Notamacropus eugenii: one gene and its partners. Each later gene encodes a partner of the first gene's protein in a complex. Links are inferred from orthologs where the notes say so. Each region holds a gene or a part of one and is shown in the gene's direction. Other genes may lie near its edges.

Evidence for each region. Proteins that work in one complex are often made in the same cells at the same time.
Region 2: the proteins of EIF4E2 (region 1) and GIGYF2 are in contact, whole or in part, in a crystal structure (PDB 5NVM), measured with the Homo sapiens proteins. The link is inferred for Notamacropus eugenii from reciprocal best matches to the Homo sapiens genes EIF4E2 and GIGYF2. Residues at the interface, in NP_004837.1 of Homo sapiens: His54, Pro55, Leu56, Gln57, Tyr64, Arg66, Asn81, Lys83, Gln84, Ile85, Gly86, Thr87, Val91, Glu92, Phe94, Trp95, Arg96, Phe97, Ser99, His100, Met101, Val102, Leu107, Phe113, Glu149, Asn150, Leu153, Leu156, Gly157, Glu158; in NP_001096616.1 of Homo sapiens: Leu38, Ala39, Asp40, Tyr41, Arg42, Tyr43, Gly44, Arg45, Met48, Leu49, Leu51, Phe52, Leu53, Asn56, Lys57, Ile58, Pro59, Asp61, Leu62, Asp64, Glu66, Phe67, Pro69, Ile70, Leu71, Gln72.
Region 3: the proteins of EIF4E2 (region 1) and EIF4EBP1 are in contact, whole or in part, in a crystal structure (PDB 5NVN), measured with the Homo sapiens proteins. The link is inferred for Notamacropus eugenii from reciprocal best matches to the Homo sapiens genes EIF4E2 and EIF4EBP1. Residues at the interface, in NP_004837.1 of Homo sapiens: Glu53, His54, Pro55, Leu56, Gln57, Tyr58, Tyr64, Arg66, Lys83, Gln84, Ile85, Gly86, Val91, Glu92, Gln93, Trp95, Arg96, Phe97, Ser99, His100, Met101, Val102, Leu107, Phe113, Glu149, Asn150, Leu153, Gly157, Glu158, Gln159; in NP_004086.1 of Homo sapiens: Arg51, Ile52, Ile53, Tyr54, Asp55, Arg56, Phe58, Leu59, Met60, Cys62, Arg63, Ser65, Val67, Thr68, Lys69, Thr70, Pro71, Pro72, Asp74, Leu75, Pro76, Ile78, Pro79, Gly80, Val81, Thr82, Ser83.

Annotation. Positions count from the first base shown.
Region 1 is NC_092873.1:57,580,347-57,587,216, reverse strand, and holds the start of EIF4E2 (eukaryotic translation initiation factor 4E type 2), read left to right. Parts: upstream 1-3,078; 5' UTR 3,079-3,289; coding exon 3,290-3,309; intron 3,310-3,578; exon of another isoform or gene 3,579-3,858; intron 3,859-6,297; coding exon 6,298-6,412; intron 6,413-6,870. UniProt on the Homo sapiens protein: Recognizes and binds the 7-methylguanosine-containing mRNA cap during an early step in the initiation. Acts as a repressor of translation initiation.
Region 2 is NC_092873.1:59,711,502-59,718,371, forward strand, and holds the start of GIGYF2 (GRB10-interacting GYF protein 2), read left to right. Parts: upstream 1-3,474; 5' UTR 3,475-3,572; intron 3,573-4,187; 5' UTR 4,188-4,371; coding exon 4,372-4,421; intron 4,422-6,870. UniProt on the Homo sapiens protein: Key component of the 4EHP-GYF2 complex, a multiprotein complex that acts as a repressor of translation initiation. In the 4EHP-GYF2 complex, acts as a factor that bridges EIF4E2 to ZFP36/TTP, linking translation repression with mRNA decay.
Region 3 is NC_092872.1:622,944,447-622,951,316, reverse strand, and holds the start of EIF4EBP1 (eukaryotic translation initiation factor 4E-binding protein 1), read left to right. Parts: upstream 1-3,404; 5' UTR 3,405-3,499; coding exon 3,500-3,644; intron 3,645-6,870. UniProt on the Homo sapiens protein: Repressor of translation initiation that regulates EIF4E activity by preventing its assembly into the eIF4F complex: hypophosphorylated form competes with EIF4G1/EIF4G3 and strongly binds to EIF4E, leading to repress translation.

The DNA of each region.
Region 1 (6,870 bases):
CTATTGTTTAAAAAGCTATTTTTAAAGCCTCCTTTTTATTAAACCGAAAGTACAGTGGAGTGGGGAGAGGGAAGGAGGGAGAGGGAGAGAGAGAGAGAGAAGGGAGGAAAGGAAGAAAGAGGAGGGGGAGAGAAAGAAAGAGAGTGGAGGGGGAGAGAAAGAGAGAGACAGACAGACAAAGAGACAGAGAAATGGGGAGAGAGAGACACAGAGACAGACAGAGACAGAGGGAGAGACAGACGGACAGACAGACAGAGACAGAGACCAAGAGCTGCAGGAGAAGCAGAGAGAAGCACTTGGCAGCCCCAAGGGAAGGCTGTGCATCTGGTGCATGCCATACAGTTGGAGCCCAGGGGATGTCCAAGGTGGGCCCAGGCCACAATTGCTTCTTACGTGCCTGCTTCTCCTTGTTGGTTTCTTATGTGTCCGTTCACCTGCCTGTGCTCAGCTGGCTCTCACTTCTGTCTTCAGCTGGCCATCTCTTACCTCGCTTTCACTTTATTCTACTTTTCTGCGGCTGAAAATGCCAGCCTCCATGCAGGGTCGCCTTATAAGCAACAATCCATCTCTAATATGATTTTAATCTCAAAAATTCTAACTTTTTGTCAGGTTATGATTCCGCAATCCTTATATGATTTTCCCATGGTACCCTGACTAGTTATTTAATTTATAATTTCTCAGTTATAATCTCTTAAAAGTCTAAAAACAGTCACATGCAAATGAGCCAATGGACCACAATGCCCTGTAGTCATCAGTACCTCAGTTAGTGCTGTGCCTAAATACATGTTAACTATCATTATGTTGATGGTTATAGTATCTTTATTATTATAGCTATTTTGAAAGCCCTGGTTTGTTTGTTTTTAAGCCAAAAGTATGGTGCAAAGAGAGTGAGCCTTGTTTCCAAGGGTCACAGCTGGAAGCAGAGAGAAACGTCTGATTTTCAACAGGTTCATTTATCCTTCCAGTTTCATAGACTCTCATCCTAGGTGTCATCCTCATTTTCTCACATCCCACAACCAATCTGTTGCCAGATCTGTCAATATCACCTTTGCAATATCTCTCTAATATACTCCCTTCTCTCCTCTGATACTGTCAGAAATCTGGTGCAATATCTTCTCACTCATGTCTTCTGGCTGATCACTAAAAGTGAACACACCTGTGGGGGCCCCAGCTACAATTTTAAGTAAATGCAAATCCATAGGCTTAACAGCTCTGTGAGTTGGGATTGAGCCCAGATATTACAGAATAAATTTGAAAGTGGAAGGAACCTTAAAAGTTATGTATTACCATTCCATCATTTCAAAGATGAGAAAACCGAGGCTCAGAAAAGTTGAGGGACTTGCCCAAAGTCACAGAGGCAGGGAGTCTAACCCAGGTCCTTTGACTCTGAATCTGAAATTTTCCACACTCACTGCCTTTCTTCAGTATCTGGCTCATGGTCTCAAGCCCAACTCCTGCTGACATACTCAAGGACTCCAATGTGTGTGTTGTTTCCCCTCAGACACCCTGGCCTCCTCCTTCTAAGGGGTGCTCATACTTTTGATCTTACTGTCATCCAGAACTGGTTTACCTTCGTGATCTAGAACTCAGAAGTTCCTTTCTCTGACCACAACTTCCACGTATCCATGTGACTCATTCCTCTTTACTCCATCTGGCCTCATGCTTCTCCTCTGAAGTCTTCAGACTAGAATTAAACAGCTCAGCTATCACCTGACCTCTACATGGAATTTCCTTGTCCCTTTCTCCTACCAGTACCATTCATTTTCTCTGTTCCTTGTGGCCAACGGAGGAGGTCATCCAACCTTGCCTTACTGGGTCCATTACAGATTTATGTGACCTGATCTCAACTGGGCCCTGAGACAATCTTTTTATTTTGATCTGTTGCTTTTCTCAAAACTTCCCTTTTTTTTCTCAAGTCTTATAAATCTCTCCTTGTCCAAACTTGGTCATCAAAAGACTTGGCCTCCTACTTAGGTATTCACAATAACCCTAACTGTGTCCTACCCTCTCCCCAAACCCTTGCTCTAAGCATCCCTTATCTCCTCCTCCTTCCCTTTGGATTCTGAGGACCATGTGTCTGTCTCCTAGGCAAAGCCAAACTTTACCCTTGTGTACTGGATCCCATCCCCATCATACTCCTTCAGAAGCAGAACCTGTCCTTGCTGTTTTCAGTTTCCTATCCGAAGACCCCAAGCCTAAACTCTTGACCTTCCCTTAGCATCCCCTCAAGCCAATGCCCCACATTTCTTTTCTCTTTCACAATTAAACTGCTAGAAAAGACTGGAAGGTATCGCAAGGTGAAAGATCATAGATTTTAGAGCTGGAAGGGACTGTAGACACCACAATCATTGATCGATAAGTATTTATTAAGTACCTACTGTATACCCTGCTCTGTATAAGCACCAGGTAGATGAAAAGAGGCAGATGGTCCCTGCCCTCCAGGAGCTCCCAATCTAAAGGTGGAGACACATATAAGCAAATGTATATAAAGGAACACATGGGATAAATAGGAGGTGATGGGGGCGGGCCAAAAGGAGGCCGGGGAGGTCAGTGGTCAGAGCAGAGGGGCGTGTTGCAGGCCTGGGGGATGGCCAGAGAGATGCCCAGAGCCCAGAGGGAGGGTCCGGGGGCAGCTGCAAGGGTGGGGGGGCTTGGAAGCCAAACAAAGCCCCCGTATTGGATGCTGGAGACGAAGGGGGCGCCTGGGCTTTGCCGAGGAGGGGGTGGCATGTGCAGAGCCGAGCTTTGGGGAAGTGACTGCCCCCCAGCCTCAGTTTCCCCCTCTGTGAAATGGAGGGGTTGGATTGGAGGGGTCTCAAGCCCCTCTCCTGGGGCCTCCGTTTCCCCGTCTGTAAGCTGAGGGGGTTGGACCCGCGACCTCTTGCCCCTTGTCTTCCCTGGCCTCAGTTTCCTCTTCTGTAAGGAGGAGAGCGGACTGAACGGCGCCCGGCCCCCCCACCTCCTTCTCCACGCCCCGCGTAGGGGCGGGAATGTCGTCAGCTCTGCCCCGCCCCCTTTCGCTCCGCCCTCAGCCGTGGTCAGGAGGAGGAGCCGGCTCGCCCCCGCCCAGCCCAGCACTGCGCAGGCGCCTCGCTCGGTCCTGCCCCCAGCCCCAACCCCGCCTTCCCGAAGAGGCGCTCGCTCCGCTCCCCCCCCACCTCGGCCGGGGGCTCGCGCGCTGTGCTTCCGGCTGTACGCAGCGCCACCGGAAGTATCCGGGGGGACCGAGGCCGAGGGACTCGGCGGAGCGGAAGTCAGCGAGTGAGACGACGGCGGCGGCGGTGAGAGGATGAACAACAAGTTCGACGCGTGAGTGGCGTGGCGCGCGGCCCTAACCGCCGCCCCGGGCCCGGGCCCGGCCTGAGCCTGAGCCCGCCCCCGCCGGGGCCCGCCCGGGACCGAGGCCGGGGCCGGGGACCCCCGGGCGGGGGAAGGGAGGCCCCGGGCTGGGGCGGGAGGCGGGAGGGGGGGCAGAGCCGGGGCGCCCACCCCGTCGCTCCCCCGCGTCGGCGCGCATGACTTAGCGCTGGGGGTGCCTGGCGGGGCGGTCGTGCGGTGCAGCGGCGAGGGCGCTGGGTGTGGAGCCCAAGGACCTGGGTTCGAATCCTGACCCTGCCACGACCCTCTGTGACCTTGCGCAAGTCCCTTCTCTGGGCCTCAGTTTACCTTTTCTTACTTAGTCGCGGGGTGGAAGCTGTCCGAGGGCAGCCCCCAAGGCCCCCAGCGCGCCCTCCGCGTGCCAGACAGGTGGGGTGCATCCCGTACACAGTAGGCGCCTACTGTTTGGGGGCCGGGCCCCTGCCCTCCGGGAACTTCCATTCTGCGGGGCCTGGGGCTTTTCCAGCCAGTGTTGAAGAGGTAAAAGCCAGACGGAAAGCTGGGCGATGGGGGGGGGGCCAGGAAGTGTCCTGCAACCACGTGCGGCTCCCCTGTCTTGGAGGGGGCGGGAGTCCGGGACCAGGCCCTGGCACCTTGGGTGACCTTGGCCAAGTCACTGTGCAGGAGGGGCAGGAAGGGCTTGGAGAAGGGGCGAGGACCGGCTCCCGCCTGAGCTGGGCCAGGCTCTCTTTCTGCTGGGTTGGACTCGTGGGGTCCTTTGCCTCCCCAGGCCCGTGGTCTTGTGAGCCCTACAGGAGTTCTCACAGGAGGGGAAGTGACTGGCCCAGAGTCACCCAGCTAGGAAGTAACAGAGCCAAGATAGAAGTCCTGGAAGGGGCCCCAGGCCTCAGGGCTAGCCCCCTCCTTTTACAGATGGGAAAACTGAGACTCAGAGAGGGAAAAGGACTTGGTGAAGACATTGATGAGACCCAAACTCAGATCTCCTGACTAGTACCCTAGCTTCCTTCTTTCCAGGCACAGAAAACACTCCTTGAGAAATTTGTCAAAGTCCACTTCCTTATATCTTCTGTTACTGTTAAGCAGTGCATGTCTCACAAGTAACTGGGTTGCCGAGAGGAAATGTACTTCCAAGGCCTCCACCCTTCTCCCACCGTTCTGTCCTCAGATAGGTTTCTCCTTCACTTTCTTGGAATAATACAGAGCTTTGTTGTAAGATTAGGACACGGTACGGTCGATTCGTAGACGTGTGTGAAGAGAAACTCCAATTTCATGTTGCTAAAGCGGACTTGTTCAGTTACAGGATAAGAGTATTTCTGCTCAGAATCAGGGTTCCTGCATTTTAAGTGTTTGAGGTGGTCCTAGAAGCTGCAATGTATTGTTAACATCACTGGAATCCATGTCCCACGATGGTAGAATTGGCAGCTGAGGACCAGATTTAATAAGATGAAAGAGAAATATAAAGTCTTACATTTGTCTTAAAAAAAAAATCACCCGTACAAGTCCAGAATGGGAGAGGCTCAGTGAACACCCCAATGTCCCAGGCTAAGGAGGCCATGGCTGTCCTCTGCCCTGATCACAGGGCGTCTAAGGGGTGGGTTCAGTCCTGTGCACTGCATCTGGGGAAAGAAACTGGCCAGCTAGAGTGTGTACCCAAGGTGGGGGAGGGGAAGGGCTAGGGGACAGGGGAAAGGGTAGACAAGGAGACTCTGATCACAAGGGGAATGGAAACTGGGTTTTCTAGGGGTTGATTCCAGGGACTGAGAATGTTAAACCCAGAGAAGAGAAGGCAACTGGGAAGGCTTTGGCCAGCTGGCAGGTGGGAGAGGCTTTGTTTTCCTTGGGGTAGGGGTAGAATTAGGAGGATGGAGTAGACCCTGCAGAGGCAGAGTGGAGAGAGTGTCCTCATAGGATGTGGAGGTTTCCCATAAAGACTGAGTACCTCACTGTCACAGATGTTGCTCAACTGAAGGTAGAACCGTGTAGTCAGGCCTCAGCTTCTGTGGTTCCTCAGGAAGGTTTCCTGAGTCAAGTTTTCTTTCATTAGGAAAAGCGTTTGCCCAGTATCTGTGTTTGCTCTCATCTCTGTTTTATCTGTCCAATGCTATGGAGCCCTTCCTGTAGCTCCTGTGTCCTGTTATAGCGCTTACTGTCTGCAGCATTCATCTGGTGCTTTGTCTAGTCACTTGTCACGTCATGTCAGTGGGTCAGCAAGCATTTAGTAAGACAACACAAGAATTACTAGCCATGGATGAGATGTATTTAGAATAATCGGAAGCTGATCTCTTAAGAGAAAGCAGAAGGAGCAAGGAGGGCTCATTGCCCTCTCATCCCCCACTCCTTCCAAGTAGCAAATGCTCAGTGAAGGTTGGTTGATGGTGGGTTCTTATTCAGGGGAGCTGGAACCTGAATTAATCACCTTTTTCTATAATAAATTCATGCATTTAATGCCTCTAACCTAGGGTATAGTTTGAGCATTTCTAGTCTTAGTTGCATTAACCACATACCTCCCTTGAGCTACAGGGCAACAGCCAACAGTGATTTCAGAGCTCCCACTTTGTTGTTGATTTAGAGTACCTTTTGTGCCGAGTCCATTCTCCTTGAGTTAGTCCTTCCTGTCTTTCTCCAGTCCTAGAATTAGTGCCCGATCCTTATGCGTTGAATTGGGAAGGGGGCACCCAGAGGGTTTAGCAGGGCCAGGCTGGAGCCCTGGCATTCTGGGATGATGCACTTTTGATGCCTGTGGTTTGTTCGGGGTCTTCATGTGCGGACATAGGCTTTCTGCTTGGGAGCTGCCAGGAGTCCTTTCCTTGTTTTAACTTTGGTCATCTTCCACACCCACGCTGAATTTAGGGGGTTTCTCTTTATTCAAGACAGTGAATCTTAGAATCTCCTGGTTCTTTTGGATGAAGAAGAGATAGTTCAGCCATAGGAGGAACATTGTTTTGTTTTTTCTTTCAGCTTGAAGGATGATGACAGTGGGGACCATGACCAGAATGAAGAAAACAGCACACAGAAAGACGGTGAGAAGGAAAAAAGTGAGCGAGACAAAAGTCAGAGCAGCAACAAGAGGAAGGTGTGTTTGGAGCTATGTTCTCAGATGCGTTCATCAGCAGGTTTAAATCTTGGGAAGCTGGTGAGATCTGCTTATTCCAAGAGTTCCAGGGCATCTCACAGATCCTCTTTTTTTCTGAAAACATCATCCCCTTACTCAGAGATTTTTTGGTCTTCAAGGCTTTTCCCCCTGCTTTGAATACCCATCATGCTGGATTGAGAGAATTTTGTCTTGAGAAAGGGGATTTTCCGGAATTTCTCTTATAACTTGGAACATTTCTCTTATCATAGGTCCTTGAAGTGGTGTACATTCTCCTGTATATCTAGGATTTATGACTGGAACTGCCAGAAACAGAGTTAATTATCCTTACTTAATTTAGGGGCTAAATGGACCTTTTATTTGGGGGTAGGGGAGGATTAGGAGTGCTGAGGAAGGCCACTAAAAAGCCTCTCTTTCTGGAAGGAGTGAGTTGCCATGGG
Region 2 (6,870 bases), about 2.1 Mb from region 1:
GTAATATTTCCTTGTGCTCACTCTGGACAGCTAGGCAACACAATGGATAGAGTGCCTGGGGTGGAGTCAAGAAGACTCCACTTCCTGAATTCAAATCCATCCTCAGACACTTACTAGTTGCATGACTCTGACCAAGTCATTTAACCTCTATTTGCCTCAGTTTTCTCATCTGTAAAATGAGCTGGAGAAAGAAATGGCAAATCACTTTGATATCTCTGCCAAGAAAACCTCAAATGGGGTCACAGAGAGTTGGAGAAGACTGAAACAACTGAACAAACCACAAGAGCTCACTGACCACAATTTGGTCAGTCATTCCTCAATTGATGGGTACCTGCTTTGTTTTCAATTCTTTGCTACCACAAAAAAGGGCTGCTCTGAGGGTAGCCTAGCTAGAAGACCCTTGGGTCGAAGGTTATAGAAGCTACAGTCCTTTTCGAACGGGCTATTAAAAAATTCTTCACAAGAGAATGGCAGAAGAAATGACAGTATATTATGGAACATTGAGTTGCCTTTAAAAGGAAACTTGGAAAAACCATGGAAAGAGGTAAGATAGAGTCAGTCAGTTATCAAACATTTAGTAAACTCTTATTATGTGTCAGGGACTGCGCTAATACCCAGAATACAAAGAAAGGCAAAACAGTCAAACTCCTTCAGGAGATTGTGATAAGGAGGGACAGACCATCAACACTCCAGGGAGGGAATGGGTCTCCACAGAGGTCGTTTGTAGTTTGTTAATTCATTTGGCTCCATCTTGTCAAAACCAAAACCAAAAACTTAGGTTTTTATACCATACAAATCACCAGTTTTATTTTGAATGCTTATCAGATTATTGGTTTTTATTGGGCATTCAGTTTTATATATGTGTGAAATGAAAAGGTGTGGTAGAGATAGGGCAAGACTTGGAACCAAAGGTCCTGGATTCAAATCTTGCCTAGGTTACTTACTAAATATGTGATTTTGGATCAGTCACTCAACTTTTCCAGGCCTGCTTCCTTGCCTGCAAGATAAGGGGGTTGGACTAAATGATCTGTAAGATGTTTTAAAGTTCTAAATCCTATAATTCTGTGAGTTGTTTGAATTTAATTTGCTAGGCAATAGGGAGCTGTGGAAGGTCTGGTTTATTTTTTAGGGAGAGGTTACCAGGAATGTCAATGATGCTTTACCACAAATATTAACAACAGGTTGCTGACTAGATGGGAGTTTCTACTTTACCTCTTCCCTGCTTCATTCTCTTCATCAAACAGCTTTTGGCATAGGGTTTCTAGGAGGGAGAAAAGTGCTCTGGAAATCTAAATGGATTGGACGAACAGGAGTTATTGTTTTTCCTTTGTGTTTGCTTTTGTTTTTTAGGTGGGAGAGAGAACTGGACTTCACTGGTCTAAGTAACTTGTGGTGAGGAGTCCCAGCTCCCAATGCAGCCTGACCCTTGGTGTGGGAGGACTCTGAGGCTAAGTCAGTGCTTGTGGTGAGATGCAGGGTTTGAACTCAGGGATTCCCAAGCTTAGGCACCATGCTGCTCATAGGCATGAATAGTATCTGTACCATGAGAAAGGAGGAACTACAAAGGTAAAGAACTTGGGGAAACCCAAGAAAAGACTTGCATGCAAAACCAGGAGCCCTGGATGCTTGGCAATGACAGTGATGTCAGAAAGGTTGCTTAAATAGACTTGGCACCGTGTGGGAAGGACCAACTTAGACTGACACACTCTGGACATAACCACAGTGGGGACTACAGATGCAGAATGGTGCAGATGCTGTCAGACATATGCCTTGCAGATTGCTTTTGCAGAACTTTTTTCTTTTTTATAAATGATAGGAAAAGATGAACTCAATGATTTTACAAAAGCATGAAAAGCCTTGCATGAAATAATGAAAAGCGAAATGAACAGAACCAGGAGAACATTGTATACAGTAACAATATTATTTTATGAATGACTTTGGGCAACTTTTTTCACTATTATATTCAAATGAACTCTAAAGGACATATGAAGAAAGATGCTAGCTGCATCCAGAGAAAGAACTGATTAACAGAAGCATATGTAAAGTAATATTACAGATATATACTTATTTGTGTCTAATGGTAGCCATAGAGGGGGAGGGAAGAAAAATCATTTACGTGATAATTTTCTTGTATATTTGGGACAGCAAATTATGCACAGTAGATGCACAGTTTCATATACAATCATCTTTTTATTGTACTGTTATGGAAATGCTTATTTTATGCCATAAAATAAAAATAAAAGAGTAAAGCTCATGGGGGGAGTAAAGGTGGGGGGAGATGAGGGCAATAATCTCGAAGCACTTGATATAAAAAAAAAGCATCAATGAAACATTGATACTCTTTAAAAGAAAAAGCAACAAAGTGAATAACAAAAAAGAACTTGGGAAGTTCACAGTTTGCCCCTGAATAATATGAAATTAAGCCACCCTTCAAGGCAGTATGTCTTCAAATCCCTCCTGGCCTTCCAAATTCAGCTCAGGCCACCTCTGCAGGAAGTCATTTGTGATTCTCCCAGCTATTTTCCCACCAAAATGACCTAGTATTTGTTTGGTCTGTGTGGCGGTGTCTCCCAGTTTCTTGAGAACACGACTGTTTTATTTTTCATGTTCATACTCCTAGCACCCAGCGCAGCAACTGGCATGGGAGAGGGAATTAATAAATGCTTGTTGCCTACAGTAGGTGCTTAATAAGTGCTTGACTGGCAGATTAACTGGCGACCGGGATCTAGATTGGCACCCTAGTGCGCTGAGGTCCCAGGCTCCTCTTGAGGCTTCTGTTCAGTCCTGTGGGACTCTTCCTGACCTCAGCAGAGATACTGGAATGGTTGCCATGTCCTTTGACAGATGAGGAAACTGGGGCAAACAGGGTGAAGTGACTTGGCCAGGGTCACACAGCTAGTGGTGCCCAGGGCTCTGCCACCCAGCTGCCAGGCTCCTCTAGAGGCAGGGAAATAGAAAGAGCACTAGACAGTAGAGTCACACGAGGTCTGGGTTCCTGATCATGTGACGCTCTGAGCCTCAGTTTCTCCATTCGTAACTTCAGCCAACAATTCCACTCTGCTTTAAAGGGTGCGATGTTTGACTTAGAAATGTTGTTGGGAAGGGATACAGAATCTGTCTCTGGAGTTTACTACCCAAGTGACCTTGGGCAACACGACCTCCCCGTGCCTCAGTTTCCTCCTCTGTCAAACGGCCGTTCCGGAGTGGCTCGCACCTCAGCCCCAGAATAAAGCCTGGCTCCGGTAATGACTTGCTGAATCCCGATTGGCTCCCTGGAGCATGAGTCATCCGTCTCGAGAGTGGGCATAGAAATAGCAAGATGGCCGCGTCGGGGGCGGGCGCGCCACTGCGCCTGCGTCGCCCCTCCCTTGCCTCTCTCGGGACATCCGGGCTTCGGCACTGATCGAAAGCAGGGAGGAGGCGGAGCGACTGCCCCCGTCCCGTCGCCTCGTGCGGCGTCGCGTTGCTCGCGTCACGTCACGTGCCGGCGCGCGGCGACGTGGCGGCCATCTTGTGTTGTCGGGGCTGAGGGCTGACTGGGATTCCGAGAGACTCTCCGTCCGGGACCGCAGGTAACCGGCGCCCGCCCTGTCCGCCGCCCGCGGCCCTCCTGGCGCACCCCGCCGCCACCGCCCGGAGCCCGGGGCCCAGGCCCGAGCCCGTCCCGCCGCCGCCGCCCCCGCCGCCGCTGGGCCCTCGCCCAGGCCGCTCCGGCAGCCCCGGGCTCTCCTCGGGCTGGCGGCCGAGGGACACGTCAGGCTCCCGGGGCCGCCTGGGCGGCCTCCGCCCGAGCGCTGCCTGCTCCCGCCTGTCGGGTCCGTCGGAGAGGGGGCAGCGCCGGGGTCGAAGGCCGCGGCTGGGCTGGGCCTGGAAGCGAACCCCGCCCGGCAGTCCGGGCCGCCGGGGGGACTGGGGTGGGCGGGGAAACTGAGGCCGGCGGGCGAGGGGCCGGCACCGGCCCAAGGTCAAGCTGCTGGTGGGCGGAGGCCGCGCGAGGCCGCCCCCTCGGCGGGCCCCCCCTCCTTCCCGGGGGGAAACGGAGGCCCGGCTTTCGTTGGCGCCCGCCCAGAGGCTTCCCCCCAGAGTCAGGCTGGGGGCGGGCGGGGGGGGAGGCCGGGGCTCCTGCCGTCCGGCTGCTGTCCCGCTCCGTTCTCCCAGTCTCCCGACTGACGACCCCCATTTTACAGATGGGGACACTGAGGCAGGCAGAGGCGTCGAGTGACTCGCCCAGGGTCACCCAGCTCGAGAGTGTCTGAGCCGGACTTGAACTCGGGCCTCCCCGACTGCCCACTGGACCGCCGGCCGCCTCTAGTCCAAGGTCACCCAGGTAGAGGAGGAGCCTAGCGGGACCCTGAGTCCTAGGGAGGTTTGATGACTTGCCCAAGGCCGCTAAGCGGGAACTCGGCTCTGGGCCCTCACAGGTAACACGCCGGGATTCGCACCCAGGGCCCCGACTCACCCGAAGTCTGGTTTCCCCCGGGGGCCTCCGCATTGGTACAGATGGGCAAGTTGAGGCCCTGGGGGGGAGGTCACGTGAGCCCGAGACAGGACTTGGGAGTTGAAGGCAGGAGCCTGTCCCCTCCCCTGGAGGAGGGTTTGGAAGCTGGGGTCCCTGAGCTTGGTCCTTTTTAAATAAACGATTTGATAGCTGTATAGGGCTGGAATTCGTTTCCCATGTGATCCTAAACGTTTTGTTACATGCATTTAAAACCTGAGAGGGGCTTGTTGGAGTTACCCGTCCTGGCCGAGGGTCCCAGACCCAAGGAAGGTGGGCCGTCCTCAGATAAGAGAGTGCCGCCCACTGCTCTTGGGCTCCGACTTCTATCCAGTGGACAGTTCAGGTCGGTGACTGAGTGCTGGGATGCAGAGATAAAAGGGCCAGCCTTTGTGAAGGAGTGCCCAGGCGCAGCGCTTGCCTTCAAAGAGCTTAACTTCTGTAGTTATCCTGGAGCTCCATATTGTTTAGCGCATTGTAGTGAAAGTCAGAACACTTAAAATGCTTCTTTTCGGTGGTGGTGGGGACGTTCCAGCCCCTCCAATTTTGCTTTCAAAAAGGTAAGGCTTGAATGTGTTACTCCAATCTTAAAAGTCAGATGGCAGATGGCCAGTTTTATCTTAGTATGTGGAGAAGAGCAAGGTAGATTTATTAAACTTATTCTCTGTTGTAGAGTAGTCCTTTTAAGATATCTATTTGCTTTTTCAAAAAAAAAATCCTTTTTTAAATCTTCATTTGTTTCTAGAATTCTTTCTGGGCATCATGACTTCTGTAGTTTTTTCCAATTTTAGGTAGATAACAACTAATTTCTCTTACTCATTGACATTTTTATGTGTTTTTAGCAGTTTCTGTAGCAGCTTGCAGAGTGGACAAACTGGTATATGTACTTGGCTGTTGCATCAAGAGTTTCTCATCAGACCTAACACCAGGAAACAATTTTAAAGTGGGATGTACCTGGAAAAGTGACACGATTCCATTCACATTTAATTCTGAGAATTGTGTTAGCAAATGATACCAGTTTTACTAGAAATAAGAGTTCCACATCATTTTGGCTCAGGATAATTTCTTTTTTAATTTTAAGATAACTACCTATTTTTAAGAGTTGGGCTTGGGAGAGCCAATGGATGTATTTGTACAAATTTGAAAAGTTGTTCATATATTGTGTAGCACAGTAGTTGCCAAGTGTGTATTGACTATTGTGTAAGCTATCTGGGGAGAATGGCAGGGTGAAGGCACTTAAGGAGTTCACCTAGTCCACCCCCTTCCTTTTCAATATGAAACTTAAACCCTCTCCATATAACTTAGCTTCTTTTGTTTGGGAGTGGGGGGTTGTTTTCTCTCTACTCAAAACCCCACTTCCCCCTTTCTCCAGTGTCCTTTTGCAGGGCAGTTAAATTCTAGATATGTGGATGTTTGACTATCAAAATTTTTTATTGGGGAAAAAAAGCTGAGAATGCTTGTTAAATTTAGGTAGTACATTAAGGAAGTTGGTGTGAACTGGTTTGACAGACTCTTTGAAGCTACCTGGTCTCCAATAAAAAGTACTTTTAATGAGACTGATGCCATACTGTTACTGATATTTTTCAAGAATAACCACACCTGAAGGAATGTTTTGAGGGGGTGTGTTGGGGAGAAGACTCACCAGTAATTCTACAAGTATTTTTTCTCTTGCAAAATTAGATACTTAACGAATATAACCAGTTCATTCTAGTTGGCTGTATTTTAGCTCATACAGCTTTTCTTCAGTTGGTAAAGAATTGATTTTTACCATGTTTTTATGAAGTCTCCTTTTAAAGGTTTTAGGGCTCTTGCAGCTGAATTAGCTGCCTTTATGGTGCGTGTAGAATTTCATTGTCAGAAGAATCTTCCTTTCTCTTGTGACTTTGTTTTACTCCCAGAGTTATGTCTTTGGGAGTTTTTCCTAAAGTCCACTGGTTGTTTTTACTTTAATACAGATATTATTTTTTCTTAAAAATAACATCTTGATTTCCAGGTTATCTGCATCTTTGTGATGTTAGTGTTAAATACAGTATTCCACTCCTCATGATAAATTTAGGATCCTTGAAGTATGAATACTTTATTGACAGATTAGATTTCACTGATTTATTTTTCTTTTTTGTCACTTCATTTCTGTTGCATAAATCAAAACAATTCACTTGCTTCAGAGCCTTGCAAAAATGGGAATATTTGAGCATCATGCTGATAGAAGAACTCCTTGGATGAAAGATACCAGTAAAAGAGCATTAATGATTTAGAATGATTTCTCTTTTACTTGATAAATTGAATTTTAAAATGTAAAAGTGTGACTTGTTATTACAATATATGCTGATTTTTCCCCCTCATCTTGATCTTCAATAAACCATTTTTCTGCATTC
Region 3 (6,870 bases), on another chromosome or scaffold:
GTAGAAAAAGAGACTGAAGCTCAGTTCTACCAGCTATCCTCCTCCCTGGCTAGGTTATTGCTTAATGTTTGGGAACAGATATCAGCCAAACCAATTCCACATATATATCCTCAATCATTTCTCTGGGCCCTCATTTAGATAATCTCCTTCCTTCCTAATCTCTTGGAGCTATTTCTGTGACTGGGAAACAGGAAACTTTATATGATAGAATGTGGATTCCTTGATGGAGGGGACTATGTCATTTTCAGTGTCCGGCACACAGTAAGCACTTAATAAGTGCTGATTGATTGATTGATTTCAAGTTTGTATCCCCTGTGCTTAATACAGTGTCTTATACGCAATACATATTTTAAAATCTTCATTAAGTTCCACCCTACCACCCCCAGTAAATTAAAAAAGCCTTTTCAGTTGAACTGTTCCTCAAAGATCCAACCCTACCTAGCCTAAGTAGGACTGGGGCTGGGAGGTGGGGGCAGGGGGAACGGAAGTGAATCATCTTCTACTTCATAGAATCCTAGACTTTCAAAACTGGAAGGGACCCTAGAGATCATTTCATACAAATCTATCGTTTTGCAAATGGTGAAACTGAGATTCAGAAGTAAACTGACTTGCTTAATTAAGGTCATACAATCTGTAATAACCATGTGACCTTACTGCTTAACCTCTTTAGGTCCTTAGTTTACCTTACCAGTAAATTGGAATAAGACCACCTGCCCTTTCTATATCATAGGATTGTTGTAAAGAAACGAATGAGTTATATCTATGTGTAACACAAGCCCTGCATTCACTACTCCAACCTCCCATTTGTACTGGGAGGGTGAGGCTGTGAAAGTCATCTAGCTACTTCTCCTTAGGGTTCTTAGGTATAACCCTTGGGAGTTGGGGGTTTTCCAATACTTTGGTTCACAGGCCCCCACCAGCACGCCCCAATAATGATTATCAACTGATATAAATTAGCCAGTCAGGCTTCATTAGCTTTCAGAGATGGGACTTGTCTGGGACTGCTTCCCACACTAAGCTGACCTAACACTGGAATGCCCACTTTCAAACTAGCTCAATATTTCTATCTAACCCACAGGATGTGACAGATACTTCCTATACACCCCAATATACTTCCTATGTAGCACCACTTCATTTCATGCAATAACTAGAAACATTTTGTTTCTTGCAAATTAACTAAAGACTTTTCTCACCCAATTGAATGCCTTAGATTCAACAGATGTATTCTTACTAATAAATATCAAGGTAGATCACATCATATTAGTTATTGTGGAGTAGGCAGACTGATTGATTCAACAAATTGCCCTCCTTAAAGTAAGACACTTTGTCAAATATTAAATGTCATAGATGTAAGGTCCATTTATTATTTACTCATTGGAAAACAAACTCTGGTGCAGACTGAGAGTGGTACTTGAAGCCAGGTTTTTCTAACTTCAAGGCTTAGTATGCTGCCTTTCTAATACTCTGCCTTGGTCAGATGAAATCTGAGTATTAAGCTCAGTTCTGATAACACAGTTGAGAAAGAATATTAACCTGCTGGAGAACAATCGGAGAAAGACACCTATCATATTATTAAGAAGGTATCAGGCATATTTATCCTAGAAAGGAAAGCTGTTATGGAGTATGTGTAGGGATAGCATTTGGAAGACGGATTAAATTTGCCTTTCTTAGTCCTAGCAGCAGAACAACGTCTAATAGGTAGAAGTCTCAGAGAGGAAGACTGAGGTGTGATATCAATCTAACAGTTAAAACCACAGTTGGACCCAAGAGTCTGGAGAACTGCTCTCTCTCCTCTCCATCAAGGGGCCCCGGCTCTTCTGGATCGAAACCCTGGGTTCAGTTCTGGTGAAGCATGACATTTAAAAGAAAGGTCAGTTTTATTTTTAGTTCTTTTTGGTTCCTTCTTGTCTTAGCACTCTGAGAAGAATTCTTAAAGGTCTGGGTTTGACTCATGTCTAAGATATTCCCAAAGAGGAGAACAGACAAGTATTCAATGTATACTGGAACAAATAAGCTAATCAGCAATTGAAAAGCTTTTTATTTCTTACACACACACAGACACACAGACACAGTTCTAAACACAAAAATATTCTCACTAGCACCCACTGACAGAGATTCAAAACAGGACCTAGTAACTTATATCTACTCCTACGTTCTCCTAGAAGGCTGGGAGCTAAAACTCCCCAAATTAAGCATTTGGTGGGATTGATGAAGGTGCATTTTCAGTTTCTCCTCAGCTCTACACAATCCAAACCATTTCTTCAAGGTTCATGCCCTCTGATAAGACCAGCCGGGGCTTCAGCCCTTCTGCTCCCTCCTACCCTCTCCAAGGCAGAAACTTCCAGCATCCCAGCTAGCTAAGGAGAAACGAGGTGCTGCAGTCAAGAGAAGGGCGGACTTAGTCAGGAAGGCGCGAGTTCAAATTCTGCCTGAGACTCTGGCTGCGTGACCCTGGGCGAGTCACTTAACTTCTTAGCCTCAGCTTCCTCGTCTGTAAAACGGGATGGGGGTGACAGCAATAAGCAGCATTTTGCAGTCTGTAGAACCCTGGAAAAGGGATTTGCAGATCTCTCATTTGGTATTTGGGGCTATTATTATCCCCACTGCACAGAAGAGGAAACTGAGTAAGAAATTAATAGCATTGCTAATGTCAGAATCACAGAATCTGGAGCTGGAAGAGATCTCAGACACCATCTCCTGAACCCATACCCAAACAAGCTTCCACTTGTCTGTACGTTCTCTGTTACTGGAATGTGCACTGACAGGAGTGACACTCGCAACACCATCCACGAACCAACCCCTTCACCCACTTTTTTTAACCATGCGGGTTGTAAACAAGGCCGACCAATCAGAGAGCAGGAGGGTGGTGTACTCGCCCACAGCCTTCTGGGAGATGTAGTCCACGGAGATTTTTCAGCACCACCCCATGAGCGAGGGTCTCCTGGCCCAAAGCATTGTGGGAAATGCAGTCCTCAGAATGCTGCTCTAAAGCGTTTGCTCTGGACCCGCGTCTGCCCTGGGGAGCTTAGCACTGGAGGCTATTAACACGCGCTTTCAAAAGCAGGAAATTGGAGAGGGGAGAAGCGTTCTTCCCACCCCCGCCGGGGGCCCCCTGTAGGGTCCGGGGGGAGCCTGGGCCAGTAGTTGCCGCGCGGCGGGCTCCCACCCAGAGCTCGATCCCCCCCCCTCCCCGGAGCTGCGGGGGCGCGCGGAGCCCACGTCGGGGAAGCTTCAGGCTGGCAGTCCCCCTCCCTGCCGCCACGGTCCCCACGGTGTGGCTGCCGCCCCGAGGCGCGGCGCGGGGATCCCAGGGGCCGCCACCTCCCTGGACAGCCGGGGCATCCAGGGCTTCGGGATGGGGGCGGGGGGTGAGGACTACAAGTCCCGAGGGGCTGCCAAGCTGCGGCGGCGGAAGGGGCGGTCTGGGGGCGGAACGGGGCGTGGGCGCGAAGCGGGGACCGCTGCCCCCGGGGTCCGCGGCTGCAGCCAGGCCGAGGCCATGTCTGCGGGCGGGAGCTGTGGCCAGACGCCGAGCCGGGCCATCCCGGCCACCCGTCGGGTGGTGCTGAGCGACGGCGCGCCGCTGCCGCCCGGGGATTACAGCACCACCCCGGGAGGCACGCTCTTCAGCACCACCCCCGGAGGTACGGTGGGGGGCGCGCCGGGCTGGGGGTACGCGGAGGGCACACCGGGGCGGGGGGCACAGCGGGAGGGGGGGAGCCGAGGCGGGCCAGGACTGGGATGGCGGGGAGGACCCGGAGAGGGGCCGAGTGGAAGGCCGGCCTGACGGCACGTGGAGAGCCCTGGATGCTCGGGCGCTCGCCTTTGGAGGAGGGGGCGCCTTCCGCGAGACCTCTGCCCCCGCTTTACCTCCCCCGCCGCACGGTCTCCGCGTCCCGGCCCCCGGCGGACCGAAGAGACAAAGAACTCTTCCCCAGCTCGAGTCCTGGCGCCGTTCTGGCCCCTCGCCCGTCCCGGGGTAGTGGCACGCCGGGGCGATGTCCGCGCGGGCACCCCTAGGAGGACAGCCCGGAGCCGGGCACTGCCAATCCTTCCTTCACCCGAAATCGCTCCCCCGGGGCGCTTTAGGGGTGGGCTTTAAAAAGCGGCAGGCTCGGTTGGAGGGGAGGCGAGGAAAGAGGAAGGTCCGGGAGGCGCCCGAGGGGAGCGTCCGTTTGACTTGCCAGTAACAGTCCGGAGTGGCCTAGAAGGAAGTTGAGCCTGGCACACGGTCGGGAAGGAGGGGGTGGGGGCAGCTTCGGGTTCCTCCGGTCCACGCAGCGTTCCCACGCAGCCCCAGGGAGTCGTGTCCGGAGGAGCTGATGAAACCCGCGCTCCAGTTTGCATAATTCCCCCCCCCTCCGATCTCCTGCCCCCGTCTCCTTTTGCCCCTTGCCAGGCTTTCGCCTCTCTCTCCAATCAGTACCCCGGGGAAGAAACAAAAAGCCAGAACCCCAGCAATTTCTCCGCTTCGAGTCGGGGCAAAAGGTCCCATTTCTGATTCCCGGCCCCAGACTGGAGGAAGGACTGAGGAAGGTCAGGGCTTGTGAATGCTGGCCTGCCCCTTCGGGGGCCACATGCTTATTTTCTCAGGCAGAGACTTGCAGCTGCCAGTCCCTTCCACGTTAGCGTTCAGCCCAAGTTGGGCACCCAGTAAGGCCCGAGCCCGAACACGGAATCCTGAGATGTTAGAACGGGGAAGAAATCTTGGAGATGATGTGTATCCGACTTCTTTATTTTTACAAGTTTGAGAACTGAGACCCTGGGTTAAAAGTGAGTTCCTATGGTCAGATGAAAAATCCCTTTGTTCTATCCAGATTTCATGAAAAGAATGCCATCATATAGCGTTTTAGCACTTAACAAAGTATTTCTCTTACCACCACATTCTGAGGTTAGTAGATTGTTACCTCTCCTTTAACAGATAAGAAACCTGAAGCTCCGAGTCTCAGACCATATTGGCCTTTAGGTCACTTCCAACTGAAATTCATTAACACTAGACTGAACCCCCTTGCCTTCCAGTTCCAAGACCAGCGCTCATTCCTTTCCACCTGGGGACTGAAGACACACTAGACAAATTTTCTTTCCTTCCACTTAGTTTTGGAAAAGCTGTTCCCTTTGCCACACATCTCAGTGACTTGTATTGACCCTCTTTTTTGAAGAACTTTTATTTTGTTTCCTCATTTTTAAGATGACGGTGTTGGATTAGCTGTTCTTTCCAGCCTTTCAGCTTTTTTTCTGTGTGTCATCTTTCCTTATTAAAATCTAAGCCCCTTGAAGCAGAGATGTGTCCTTGGTTTTGCTTGTATTTGTATCTCAAAACTCAATACAGTGCCTAAGTAAGCACCTAATAAATGGTTGTTTCCTACCTTCCCTCAGTCCATGACCCCATGTGATTGACTGTAGGGACATCCCTGAGACTTTTGAATTCAGCTCCTTTGGATGTGACTACCTATGGGGGACCGGGCATTGGCCTTTGCTTGGATGAAGCCAACTGCCCTGAGATTTAATGAGAAACATCAGCCTGTTAAAAGGGATTTTATGCCAGATGGTGTGTCGCATGCATACCTGTAATCCCTGCGCTTCATGAGCTCCAGTGGATTAAGCTATTTTGTCATCCCTATGACCCTACCCCCACCCTCCCAAGGCTTCACAGAAAAACATCCCCAGTTCTTTCAGTTGGTCTTTCTAGGACATGGACTTAAGATTCTTTACTGTTTTAGTTCAGTTAGCTAGATGGTATAGTAGATAGAGTGCCAGGCCTGGAGAGAGGAATATTCATCTTCCTGAGTTTAAATCTGGCATCAGACATTTATTAACTGTGTGACCCTGGGTAAGTCACTTAACCCTGTTTGCCTCTATTTCCTCATTGGTAAAATGAACTAGAGAAGAAACGACAAACCACTCAAGTATCTTTGCCAGGAGAACCCCAAATGGGGTCACAAAGAGTCATGACTGATTAACTAAACAAGAACAACAAAGCCAGTCATGTCTGAATAAGGTCAGGCACCGATGTGGTGAGCTCCTCTGAATGGATCGGCAGAGTTGTTGGGGGATGTGGGGGGGTGCGGCTTCATGAGAAGAGGCACAACAGTCCATGTGAGAAATACTGGTCCAGGTCTAACCGGGTTGACCTTCACTTGTAGCCTAGGAGAAAATGGGAGATCAGCTGTTACTTCCTCTTCCTGCGTTCCTTTGGACAGTGAAGAAATTCATGCATGGGGCCCCCCAGTTAGCTTCTTCCTCCCTTAGGTTGACAAACATTTGTTAAGTACTGGACACTGGGGAGTAGGAGAAAGGCCGAAACTGCCCTGCCCTCAGGGAACTTAAATTCTAAATGCTCTAAGATATTGAGGAACTGGGGGGGTACCAATGGCTGGAGAGAGAAGGGAAACCCAAGCTGAGTCTTGAAGGAAGCCAGGGAGACAGAGGTGGGGAGCACTTCAGGCGTGGGGGACAACCCATACAAAGGCCTGGGGATGGAGGGTCTTTGTGAGAGAGCCACATATCAGCCCCGGATGGTGGATCATAGAGTTCTAAGAAGTGAGTGAAGCCTGGAAAAGTAGGAAGAGGCCACTTTATGAAGAGCTTTAAATGCAAATACCAAAGGTATTAAGAGGCCGACCTCCAATCTGGAAGTCTTGAATTCAAAGCCTGCTTCAGCACTTATTAACTTTGTGCCCCAGGGCCAGTCACTTAACCTCTCTCAGCCTCAGTTTTCCGATCAGTAAAATTGGGATTTTTATAAAATGGGTAGGGCAGCTGAGTAGCAAAGTGGCTAGCTGGGGCCTAAAGTCAGGAAGACTCATCTTCCTGATTTCAAATCTGGTCTCAGGCATTTACTAGCTGTATGACTATATGCAAGTCATGTAA